Linked DNA regions of Rattus norvegicus. The protein of the gene in region 3 binds, or shares a complex with, the protein of the main gene of each other region. Links are inferred from orthologs where the notes say so. Each region holds a gene or a part of one and is shown on either strand. Other genes may lie near its edges.

The links. The genes of interacting proteins can lie anywhere in the genome.
Region 1: Timm21 (region 3) and Timm17a share a complex: the UniProt entries of both Homo sapiens proteins name them as parts of the TIM23 complex. The link is inferred for Rattus norvegicus from reciprocal best matches to the Homo sapiens genes TIMM21 and TIMM17A.
Region 2: Timm21 (region 3) and Smim20 share a complex: the UniProt entries of both Homo sapiens proteins name them as parts of the MITRAC (mitochondrial translation regulation assembly intermediate of cytochrome c oxidase complex) complex. The link is inferred for Rattus norvegicus from reciprocal best matches to the Homo sapiens genes TIMM21 and SMIM20.

The regions. Positions count from the first base shown.
Region 1 is NC_086031.1:49,291,605-49,295,622, forward strand, and holds the start of Timm17a (mitochondrial import inner membrane translocase subunit Tim17-A), read right to left. Parts: upstream 2,801-4,018; 5' UTR 2,797-2,800; coding exon 2,771-2,796; intron 1-2,770. UniProt on the Homo sapiens protein: Essential component of the TIM23 complex, a complex that mediates the translocation of transit peptide-containing proteins across the mitochondrial inner membrane.
Region 2 is NC_086032.1:61,932,733-61,936,874, forward strand, and holds the start of Smim20 (small integral membrane protein 20), read right to left. Parts: upstream 2,801-4,142; 5' UTR 2,705-2,800; coding exon 2,590-2,704; intron 1-2,589.
Region 3 is NC_086036.1:80,591,438-80,595,544, forward strand, and holds the start of Timm21 (mitochondrial import inner membrane translocase subunit Tim21 precursor), read right to left. Parts: upstream 2,801-4,107; 5' UTR 2,588-2,800; coding exon 2,290-2,587; intron 682-2,289; coding exon 619-681; intron 531-618; coding exon 433-530; intron 1-432. Other genes in the region: Fbxo15 (F-box only protein 15), read left to right, coding at 3,270-3,439. UniProt on the Homo sapiens protein: Participates in the translocation of transit peptide-containing proteins across the mitochondrial inner membrane.

The DNA of each region.
Region 1 (4,018 bases), on a different chromosome or scaffold from region 3:
TAAGCTTCAGTTTGCATCAGATCCGTTTAACACACTAGAATATTATTTGACAGTTAGAAGTTAACCCAATATCCAAATGCAGCTCCCTAACTTAGACAATACTGAAATCTGAGTAATCTGACCAGGAGAGTAAAACCACTCACTCCTCTAGGGATCTGGCTAATAAAAGTCTGTATAGAATCCAGGATCTGACACATCCAGCATCTCCAGCCTTGTTAAGGATTTATATAAACTTCTTTGTTATCACTCACACACACACACACACACACACACACACACACACACACACACACACACACACACGGTAAATTCTCTTTCAACCAACTCAATAGAGCTGTAATTCTTCCACCACCATCTCCTTCCAGTAAGAGGCTGGGAGTCTAGTCCACTGCTGGCACCCATTACTCACCGTGTTTCAAACCTAAATGAATTCTGTGAAACAAACACTAAGACTGTTGTTTCTATGTGAGTGCATGCTGCAGCCCAAGCTGGAGAACGTGAGGAAGTCACAGCTCTGGAGCACATAACCACTAGCATACCATGTGACACAAAATAGAGGACCCTAGCAAACTAGTAGGAATGGGCCCGAAATAGGGTAGTGGCTGCTTCCCACCTTTACAGAAGTCTCCTCAGGCTCTGGCAGCCTGGCACCTCCTCATGGTGACAGTGGGATGATTGGCTACTCCAGAGTTCCTGTCAATTCTCCATTAGTCCGAAGGCTGTATAAAATGCTTGCTGCTGTGCAATACAGTAGATCTGCACCTTGATGCAGGGATCTGGAGTCTCTTTTCCCAGCTTAGGGGCTCTACCTCCCTCACCCACTCCTGGATCCTGGTTCCCACACACATGCTTTTTGGGTAAGCCCGAGAGGCTTCCTCAGGCTTATAAACAGTTTCACAAAGTCTAAAGTTAGCAGCAACAACAACATAAAAGCGGTCTGTAAGTAGCACATCCATTAGAAGTAGAAGAAATTCTCAGTGTGTCAGTCTCAAGAGATAGGCACTTGGGAGAAAGGCAGGAGGATCAAGACTCAGAGACCAGCCCAGGCTACATAGTAAAACCCTGTCTTAACCTCCAATCTATGATCCTTCCCTACAAAAGACAAGCACTATAGTGCACAGACCCTGGCAATCGCTATAAAAACAGTATGCTTTTAAACTTACCATTATTGCTTACTAGAATCTGAATAATAAACTATTTTGTGGTTTAGAATTCATAGTCTTTTACCTTGACAAAAAGTCTGTGACTATCTCCTCTGCGTTTTACAAATGAACAAAGACTCAGACAGAAATTAAGCAGCCTGCCCAAAATCAACTGAGTGAGTAGTACAGCCAACTTAAGCACAAAATTTGGTACTCTAAACGCCCTAAACTCTTTCCACTATATTTATATAGTCTAAAGACAACAAATGATAAAAGAAGTATTATGACAATGATTAAACCCATTTACTGTTTCAGACAGTGCAGGCTTCAGGACATACTAAGAAAAGGAATGTCCAGCGACTTTATTAAACACTAAGACACGGTCTTGCAATGTATCCTGGGCTGGCCTGGAACCGGCAACCCTCTTGCCTAAGTGCTGAGATTACATGCACTCCTACTGCTGAAAATATGTGTGAAACAAGGTCTAACCTGGCTGGCCTAGAACCTGCCCAAGCTGTCCTTAAACTTGCTGGTTCTCCTGCTTCTACCTCATGAAGTGTGGGTTACAGGCCTGTGCCACCTGACCTGGGGAAAAACTCAGCAACTTATAAAATCTTTAATGCAACAAAATTACCCTCTCCTACCAATCTGTGTCATTATATGGTATCCAATACCAATTTACAGTCCAGCTAAACCCTGCATATCCAACCTCAACACATGGAGATAACCTTCTCTGGAGGACAGAGGGTTCAAACATACTTTTGGGGGTGCCACCAAATAATAATTTAAAATCCTGGGCAGATCCACTATTTGAGGATAATACCCTGACTCTCATTACAAACAAATACAAACCCAGAATAACCTAAATATCAAGATCTAAATCTGCTTGTGACCCCTGAGGCTTTATTCAAAAAAACTTGAGAGACTCAACAGCTATTACACTAACTTTCTATCTTGCTATGCCTGATTTACTCTTGTTTACTCCTTGAGCCAAGCACACAGCCCTCACTTAATAAACGCTTAATGGATGAATTTATTTCCGTTCGTGGCTTTTCGGAGAACATACACAGCTCATCTCCTTCTATTTTCCACAAACTGATTTATCTCTTTTTGTCCGGGAATTCCACGCAGGAAAAGCCGCTCCAACCCACAAGAGCTCATCCAGACCCCTTGGACTGTGGATGAAATTCGTGGTCTACTCATTTGAAATGCTTCATCATGGAAACACTTATGACCATACACACAAGGCCTCAAGTATGGCACTCGGAGATCTACATTCCCTTCGTCGAAGCTAGAACTGAGCAGAGCGAGGCCCAGGGACGTGTTCAAGGTCCTCAGCCGGCAGAGGGGAGCATTATTGTCCCCACACAAGGTCGACAGCACCTGCCCTAGGGAGGAGGTTCCAAAGCTCCACCAAGCCGGGCACCGGACCTCCTCCCTATGCACAAGGTCATCGGGGTGCTGAGTTCCCGCACACTGCATTAAAAAGCCACCTTGGTCACGCTCATTCGCGCCACCCACAGCTGCCCAGCTCTCGGAGCCATGCGGCGCGGACCTCCGCTTGCACTTCGAACTCCGACCACAGCGGGCGGAGGGGGTAAGGGACAAGGGCGACGGCGGCAGCTCACCACGGCTCTCTCGCGTACTCCTCCATCTTGGCTCCAACCCGCGCGAGAGTGTAGGGCACGCTAGGCGGAAATTGATCCCCGCGACGGAAGTGATCCCAGGCGGAGGCGTGTTACTGGACGAGGATTGGGTCATCATTCCCCTCCGCAGCCAATAGCAATCGAGCTCCGCTCCCCCGCCAGGCTGTGGAAGGTTTGAGGGTTCGGAGTACAGCGACGGAGTTCAGGTTACCCCCGTGGCCTGGGATAAACATTTATTGTTCTTTTTTCCCCCCTTTAATCCCTGAGACAGAGTTTCTCTGTGTAACTCTGGCTGTCCTGGAACTCGCTTATGTAGATCAGGCTAGCTTCGGACTTAGAGGTGAGCTAACCTCAGCCTCCCGAGTGCTGGGATTAAAGGTGTGTGTCACCACTCCCCACACGCTGTTTTTTGTTGTTTTTGGATTGTTTGTTTTTTTTTTAAGTACTTTTGCTGTTTATTAATATTCCTACTTAATTTGCCGTGAATAGTGACTCTTTTTTTTTTTTTTGAATAGTGACTCTTTAGAAAATATATGAAGCTCTTGTAGGGGAGAACTGTTTGGTCATAGCGTCTGGAATGTAATATATAACTTTTTTAATAAAAATTCTTTTTATTACATTTATTTATGGATTTATATCCAGGATCTGGTGGATGCATAGAGGTCTGAGGAGAACCTACAGAACTGGAGTTATCAGGGTTGACAGCGAGCACTTTACCACTGAGCCAACTCACCAGGACGAAAATAAGTGTGCCTCTTACAGAGCTACTTGGACCATTTCAGGGGCCGTGACCAATTTGCGACCATTGATTTTGGGAGTTATTGATGCAGGACCCTCTTCCATGCCTCTCTACAAAGGATACCCAGAAAGCACGAGCTATGTTTAGCCCAGAGAAAAGAGACTAAAAATAGGGCTAAAGTCATACTTAAATTGGTAAAAGGTTTGCCTAGCAGGCACAAAACCCTGAGTCAGATCTCCAGCGTCACATACTCGGGTATGGTGGTACAAAGTGAAGGCATCGGTTCAGTGTTATATCCTCAGTTGCACGTGGAGTTCAATGCCAGCCTGAGATGTGAGACCTCCCTGGTTAAGGAAAAAACACTAAAAGCATGAAATTCTATCAGCCTAATTTTAACTACTATCAGGAAAACTTAGTCACTGTGCCAGCTGTGAAGGGAGTTTCTATCCATTCCACCTTTTCTTTTTCTTTCTTTCTTCTTTTTTTTTTTT
Region 2 (4,142 bases), on a different chromosome or scaffold from region 3:
ACTAGTACCAGGTGTATTTCAGAAAGACCTCAACCGGGGCCAGCAAGACAGCTCAGCCGGTAAAGCACTTACCATGCAAGCCCAATGACCTAAATCCAACCCCCACAGCCTATGTTAAAACAGGGGAGAAATGACTCCAGAGTTGTCCTCCGAAATTGACACACATAAGCTGCCATACATCCACCCTCTCAACAGCACACATTTCTTTTCAGCTTTAAGAAAAAGAAAATAATAATGCACACAAGAAAAGCACGAGGGGCGCATGGGAAAGACGAAGAGTTGGTGAGTAAAGATAAAACAGTGATGTTAGTGAGTAAAGGGGCAGAGAATGCTTGGGCTAAAACACTACACAAGATGCACATGGCCAGGACGGAGTGAGAAGGGTGGCAGGGGAAGAGACTGGGGTCAGCCCAGCTCTGCCCCACATCTAAACTGTACCAGACCCAAGTGACAGCTAAAATCCAGGCTGAGTATATGAAAGGAAAGCAGTGAAATACTATAAATACTGAGGATTGAAATGGGCTGAGAAGCTCACCTGCACAGCAGGCTCCCAGTTCCTGAGCATACGTTGAGCCAGCTGGACATGCTTAGGGCTGGGTCGCTGGCCTTAGGCACACAACTGCTTATAGCTCGTCCCTCACCAAAGCCCTCTTTTAAAAGTGCTTTTTGTACAATTCCTCATATGAGACTATACTAGAGACTTCTACAAGTAATGCTCTACTTAATTCACCCTAAGCCTGTAAATTCAGTTCAGTAAACACCATCACCACAGCCTAGGGGGCTGGGGGGGGGGGCAAGGTTCAGAGTGAGGAAATACCCTGTCTATATGTCATTCAGCTAACAGCTACCACAAAGGGTTATTATGAGCACTAAATGGCTTGGTAGAGTTGAAGTGCTTGGAAGGGTGTTAAAAATTAACTTCAGATAAAAATTAGCTGTTTAGTATGACTTTCTTGAAAGATTTAGTTACAACTTTTGGTTAAAGTTGGCTGAATTATTTTAATAAGCTAAAAGGTAAGCGGGTATGGACAGCCTTGGAGCCTGACCTGCCCGTCTAAAGCAACTTGGTCAGCCAAAGACTGGGGAGTATTCCTGGAAGCCATGTCTCCTCTTGACTCACTGATTAAGAGCTGGGCAGCCCTCACCCTTTGATGCTTCCTCACAGGTGACTTCTGTGCATCATGGAAAATTTATCCTGGATCCTATCTAGTAGATACTAATAACCTACTCACCTCCCCTTCTGTCCCTTAGCTGTGACAAGCAAAACCAACTCCAGATAGATAGCACACTGGCTAAGAACCATACCCGTTTTCAGAACTGGGAGTTTTCGAAGGGAACCCACAGCAGATCTTTCTGTCTCGAGTCCAACTCTAGAAGCTGTAATAAAATAGCCCGGGGCATGGACCCAGCAAGGGAAAAGGATGGAGACGAATTCTGCAGGACCCTACACAGCCCATGTTCCTTCCACACACGGGGTATGCAGAAGGACTTGTAGGCAGGAAGCACAGAGACCGTCTCAGTCTGAGCTGGTAAAAAGCTGCTGCCAGGGGATTCGTGTGTGTACTTGAAACTGCTTTGCCTCTGGAACCCAAGTGCTACAGCACTAGAGATGGTCAGAGCATTTACATGAAGCGTCAAACCGCCAAGCTTCAGCTCCGGCTAATATTCCCCAGGGGGCTGGGCTGGCCCTCTTCATCTTCAAGATGGTTCAGGTTCCTGGAGAACAAAATGATCCTCTAATGCCTCATCTCTCCTCTCTGACAGATGGCTTCAGATGTATCAAAGTGCTAATCCTTGCTGAGGTATAGGTCTCCAGGAAGGAGAGTTTGGCTTTTAGAATGATAGGACCTGAATGATTAAGGAAAAAAATGACTCCCCCGGCATTCACCATTGTCATGTGAGCAACCAGCTTAAAACGAAGGAAACCAGCAGAATCTAAAAAAACGATTTGAGGAAAAACTCAAAACCCAGGTTAACAGTTTAGCTTTGAAATATTTCCGCTCCAAGACATCTTAGGGGACGGCAATGATGCACCATAAAAACACCTTTCAACTCAGGATGATCAAGGCTCCCACTAAAGTACCATCTCAGCCTGGGTGAATGGAGGGGAGGGCTCTGCAGGCAGAAGACTGGGTTGGAACATTTCCCCCACCACTTACTAGCTGTGTGACCTCCATCTGTAAAATGGGTAGTACCTACCTCAAGGGAAGGCTGTGCAAATTCAATGATTCGATATATGACTAACCTGACACATTAAATATTCAGTATATAGTAACTGTGTGTGAACTAGTGTTAGTGTTGACCTGCTGTGTGCAGGCTGCTTTCATACACATCACCTCTGTGACCCCTAAGATGCTCCAGTTCTGTGGCTGATCCTGCAACTGATTATTTAGACTCTTAACATTGAAGGTCGGAGGTGGGGCCACTTGTCCGAGATCACCGGGCTGCACTGGGCGAGCCTGGACCCTGGGTAGCCTCACTCCTAAGTCCACCTCCTTCCTCAGTACTCCTTGAACAGTTAGGGTAGGGGCTTAAAGACTTCGGGGTAGCGCTGGGAGCAGCCACTGCGCGGGGTCAGAGGTCACTCACGGTATTCTTCCAGCCGCAGAAGGGGCCGGAAGTAGATAGGGTAGAAGGCGGCTCCGACCATAGAGATGAAGCCTCCGAATATGAGCGCGGTGCGCAGGTTCCGGGCCGCGGCCATGGTGAGAAAGGGGGCTGCAGGGCGGGCGAAGGCCCGGCACGCTCCGAAACCCGACTCCCAGCCTCAAGGTCGCGACCCGGCTCGGAAGAGGCGGAGCAACTCTCGCTTCCGGGATTTGGGTGCAGGGCGGAGTTTCTGGGCTCGGAGGCGGGGCCTGGGCTGAAAGACTCCTCGCAGTGGGGCGGGATCATCTGAGGGCGGGGTCTTCTAGGAAGGGCGAGGCATGGGGCGGAGACTCAAACCGAGCCCCGCCTCCTCGCCTCAGGCTGACTGCGTGGAGGGCGAGACACTGGGTGGCCCGTGCAGTCACAAATTTGGCTACACTCCTTTCTCGAGCCCCCTTTTGACCTCTTACTCGCCTCGGGTCTGCGTCCTTCCTTCTCTGCTCCAATTACCACCTCCTGTTTTACTCGTCTATTACCAACAACACTTTTTCACCCTTCCCCTTCATTAACATTGTGACATTTGTGATTGGTGACAGGCTAGAAGCATCTGAAAGGCTGAGCAAGTCACTGGGTCTCCCTCTTTGAAAGTTGTTTGTGGGCACGAGTCACAAAGGAACAAATCTCCTGGTTCGAATGGATTGCAAGGCATTTGCAAAATTAGTCACTGTGTCTTCTGAACCAGAGCAGCCTTTTAAGGAGGGTATTTGAGCACCCAAAGTGATCTAATTTTGATCCCTCATCCTCTCTGCTCTCCATGTTATGTGTGCTGGGTTATGAGGGGTTCCAGAAAGTAGACAGGAATTCCCAAAACTAACAGAGGGCTGCAAACAAAATCTATTAAAGCCTGGGAACATCACAGAGTCAGTGGCAGGTCCCTAGGGCTCTGGCTCTTTGCCTGGGGCGGAGCCTCTGAAGACTGACACCTGCTCCCTCGTCCCACGATCGCTTTCCCCCACCTCTGCACCTGTTCCCTTTTACAGAGCCTTCGTCAGAAGATATGATCTCCTCAGGGAGCTGGGCAGCTAAGACCAACATTCCTCTGGCCTTCACTCAATCCCTTAGAAATAGAAATGACAGCAGTAGCGAGGCTGGGCTTCACAGAAGGTATTTATCTTGACCTCAGCAACATTATTTAGTCCAGAGAAGATCAGCAATCTCTCAGAAATGATGTGGTGAACACAGGTCTTTTTCTCTGTAGTTTTGTAGTCGAATCAAGATTCCATCTACCTCTGGCTCTAGCAGCATATAAATCAGTCGTTCAATCTGTCAACAGATTTATAGACTATCTCACTATGCCCCCCGAACAGCAGGCAAAGTGCAAAGGGGGACACAAGATGAATAAGACATGACCTCTGCTCTCCAGGATCCGACCACGGAACAAATACATGAAAAGATAACTAATCCTGGATGCAGCCTGTTGCCGATGACTGATGTAGTCCCAAGGGCAACGGAAGTGCAGGGAGGAAGACAAATGACTGTGCAGTAAGATGACT
Region 3 (4,107 bases):
CCAGCTAGGAAGCTACGATCCTAATAATACTTCATTCTTTCATGTATCCTGTACGGTTCTACTTGTGTTAATCTGAACATGCCCGAGAGACTGAGCCTGGGATTACTAAAACAGTTGGGGTGCCTCCTGGAGACCACTCTTCCCTGGATGCCCACTGACTACAGTGGAGTGCCCTAAATGTAGTCTCTGTCAACTTTTAACTCTCTCAGCTACACTCTGTGGTTTAGGACACAAAACAAAGGATGCCAGAGACACTGGCATAGCGGGGAGGAGGAGAGCGTGCGCAGTGACCTTTGGGTGCTAGGGTCAAAGTGCCTCAGAGAACAGAGACCTAAAAACAGAAAAGCAACCCACTGCCTTAGTACAGTGTGGAGGCATGGGCTTCACAAGGGATTCATTCCTCCTCCCCCACACGATCATCAGAAAACTAACCTCAGGGTGTGTTCTGCATTTCCCTAAGGCTTTCCCATAGATGATGTTAGGACTGGATGAGGAAAACAGTTCTTTGAAGATCGTATATAACAAGCTGCCTGAAAAAGCAGAGGGAGAACGCAGTGAAGCGAAGCAGTAGGGTGAGAGGCTGTGGAAAGGTATTCAAGTGCTTGCTGGGTCTGTAACCTGTAATGCTGACTCCAAAGAGCACCACTATCAGGTAGGTGACGTCTCTCCCGGCTTCTTTCACTGCAAAGAGAAAACGTCAATAAGTTACACGTGTATCCACAGAGCTGTGGCCTCTGGAGGCTTCAGGTGTTCCTAGCAGGGAGCAGTTGGGTCCAGACCTAGAGCACTGCTCTCAGTAGCTCATCTCAAATGCTCCCAAGCTTCAGAAGAACCCCTCACTCCAGTGCAAACCAGGCCTAGTTCTGCTTAGCTCCCAAGGCCAGAAGAGAACAGACCTGTTTAGTGTGGCCTGGCTATGCACGGGGCCTAGGAACCTCTGGATTTCTGTCGCTGATAGATACTGCTTCTGTTCTAGTAACGTAAAACCCTTATCGATCTCTCAGAGTGAGAATGGTCACAAGATGAGGCAACGTGTACACAGGTCTATCCTGTCCAGATCAAGGCAACTCTTAACCCATCCCAGAGACCCCACTGAGTGGTGCACAAAACCAAAGAACTGAGCTTGGAATTGAAATGTAGTTGGTTGGGAAGATTGATGAATCAAATAAACTTACAGAGATTGTTTTTATTTTTTTCTGCACTAAGTAAGTATATGAACACATGGATTAAAGAGCAGTTTGGGGAGATAAGGTAATCAATCAAAGGGGAGTGAGTACAGACACATTATTTACATAAATGCATGTTATATGTGAAGAGCTACATCACAAGCAAAGTCTGATTATGAGAGCGCTTTACTTCTTTGGTCATTTATATGTATGTACAGTCACATGAGGAACCCAGATTTTTCTAACTTCAGTCTTTAAATTTTTATTTTTTCCAAGAAATCAAAGTTTAACAAGTGGTATTTTTTTTCCCTCTACTTTTTTCATAGGTACAATGACATATAATAAAATTACTTATTTAGAAGTCATTTCTAGAACATACTTTTGGTTTTTCAGTACAGGCTGTGAACTTGAAATGTGTTCAGGGGGCTGGAGAAATGGCTCAGTGGTTAAGAGTATTTGCTGCTCTTGTAGACATCCAGAATTCAGTTCCCAGCAACCATATCTGGTGGCTCACAATTGCCAGTAACTTCAGCTTAGGGGCATCTGATGACTTTTTCTGGCTTCCTTCTTTACCTATACTCATGTGTATACACACACACACACACACACACACACACACACACACACACACCAGCAACACTAGCAATAATAAACAAATCTTTAAAGAAAACACTACTTCAAATAATAGAAAGATTGTCATCTACCAAAAATCGTAGATATTATGGGACTGATCTCAGCAGTAATTGCTTCACAAATCCTATCTCTTTACCAGGCTCTGAGCTGAGGGCTGGAACACGAATCTTTCTATTCCACTGTCCATAATGTCATAAACTACATATCAGTAGACACCGCATGAGGCCCCAAATTGAGAGGACAATAACAACTAGACTAAGACATAACCATATTTTTTCCTGCAATCCCAAATCAGGTCATTGGCCTAAACGCCTCAACCTCCTGTTCTCCCCAACACTCTGTCGTGACCTAATAATTTCCTATTCCTTGTGTTTCTGCAGTTCTCCACCTCTCTTTCAGTAGGTCCTATACTGGAGTGCAGACACTCCCAGAAGTGGGGAGCACAGGAGCTGACAGTCTTAAGTCCTAGATACTATTTTTTTCTTTTTACCTTTCTGAGATGTTGAGACACCGGTTTCCTCTCTTTGATTCCTGTTAATAGACACTTGCTTGCTACTGTCCTCCTTTGCTTTCCGGGGGTCCGGTCCTTGTGTCCAGAAGGTTTTCTGGGTGAACCCAAGGACAGTTCTAGGTTGCACTGTTTTCTTCTGCTCTCGCAGCCCCCATCTCAAAGGCTGGGTTTTCAAGCAAGCTTTGGTGAGTACAAAGTGTGGCAACAACAACTGCCTGCCCAACGACCCGTGCAGCTTCTCCGCATGCCGAACAACTCGTAGAAAAGCACAAATCATGTTCACAAACACTGTGAGACTTCCGAACTGCAACTTCTAAAGGTTCGTAATCCACACACTCAGGCGGACAAGACGTGAAACCAAACCATTCACATTACATCCTGTGTCAGGCGAATATCAAGATGAATAATCTACAAGAGAAGTTAGGTACACTTTATTTTTTTTCTCTCTCTTGAATTAAAATGCCCTATTTACCGTCCTACTGACATTCACATCTTGCCCGCCATGCTTTCGCAAAGCATCCCGGGAAACACCAGACATCCCGGGAATCGCAGTTTAATGGCTTCACACTTTCCTGTTCAACTGCAGGAAAGGCAGGCAGGATGGACTACATCTCCCATAATGCCATGCAACAAGAAAGGGCCCATCCTGTTTTCTCAGACGCTTCTGCGCGGATCGTTGCGCGTGCGCTGTGGCCCGGTTGAGGCAGGCATGTTATTGGTATCCCTGGTTCAATGGCCTCTTGGCTTAGACAGAACTTGCAAAAGTCGGATTAGTTGCAAATTGCGTGTCCTCATAGTCTTTTTATAGAGGACTGTGTCAACTGGGAAGTTCATGTCGTGGGTTTGCCATAGTTATTAGAAAGTGACAATTTCAGCGCTTGTTTCTTCTCAGGAAGACAGTTAGCAAACGTAGCTGAGCCGGGCCATAACAGGCTAATGGGCCAAGAACCGGCGTCAGAATGACTGGGGCGTGGGAAAGAAGCCGGGCCCGGGATTGTCCCGAACAACGACGTTCGAAGAGCAAAGGAGGTGTTCACAGAGAAACCCAGTCTACGCATGCGCGAGCCCGGTCCGGGTTTTGCGCACGCGTGAGGGGCAGTGCTGGGCTTCTCTGTCGCTCCTCCAGAAGGTACCTTTGGGTCTCCATGGCGACCGGACGCGGTCGGATGCTGAGGCCTGGAAGTTTCGGCCTCCAGGCTCTGCGAGGGTCCCTTCATGGTGGGGGCACTACCTGGGGCAGCGCGGGGCTGGCCGCGGGGCGCTCCGGGTTCAGGTGACGCTCGGGGCTCACGGGTGGGTCTCTTCAGTATCCCACCCCACAGCTCTTTCTAGTATCAGTTCTACTATAGCATGTGACTCCTGCTACTTTTAAACGCGGGAAACATTAGAATGGCAGAGGGAAACCTGTCTATCCTGGAAACTAGGGTACCTCAAGTTAGAACACAAGTAAAGTTACTTCCTAAGGAAGTGATGTATGTTACCAAGCATTCCATTCATTCATTGGTAGGCCCTATGGCTCTAAGGCTATTTTCAGTTCCTGGGAGACTACAGTAGTGCACATGTGAAGACAGGAGCGGACCTACTGCTCGCCCGGAACAAGGCTTTTATGTAGTATTCTTGCATTTTAGTGATTTTAAAATGAGAATCAGCCGTAGAGCTTTTAAACTCGGAGTAGAAAGTATTCATCAAAACCTAATGCTAAACAGGACATTTTGTGCACCTCTCCCACCATGCCAAGTTTTCTAGACAGTCACATTTTGTTATGCAACTCTGTTCTGGTTCGTTGTATTCCCATTA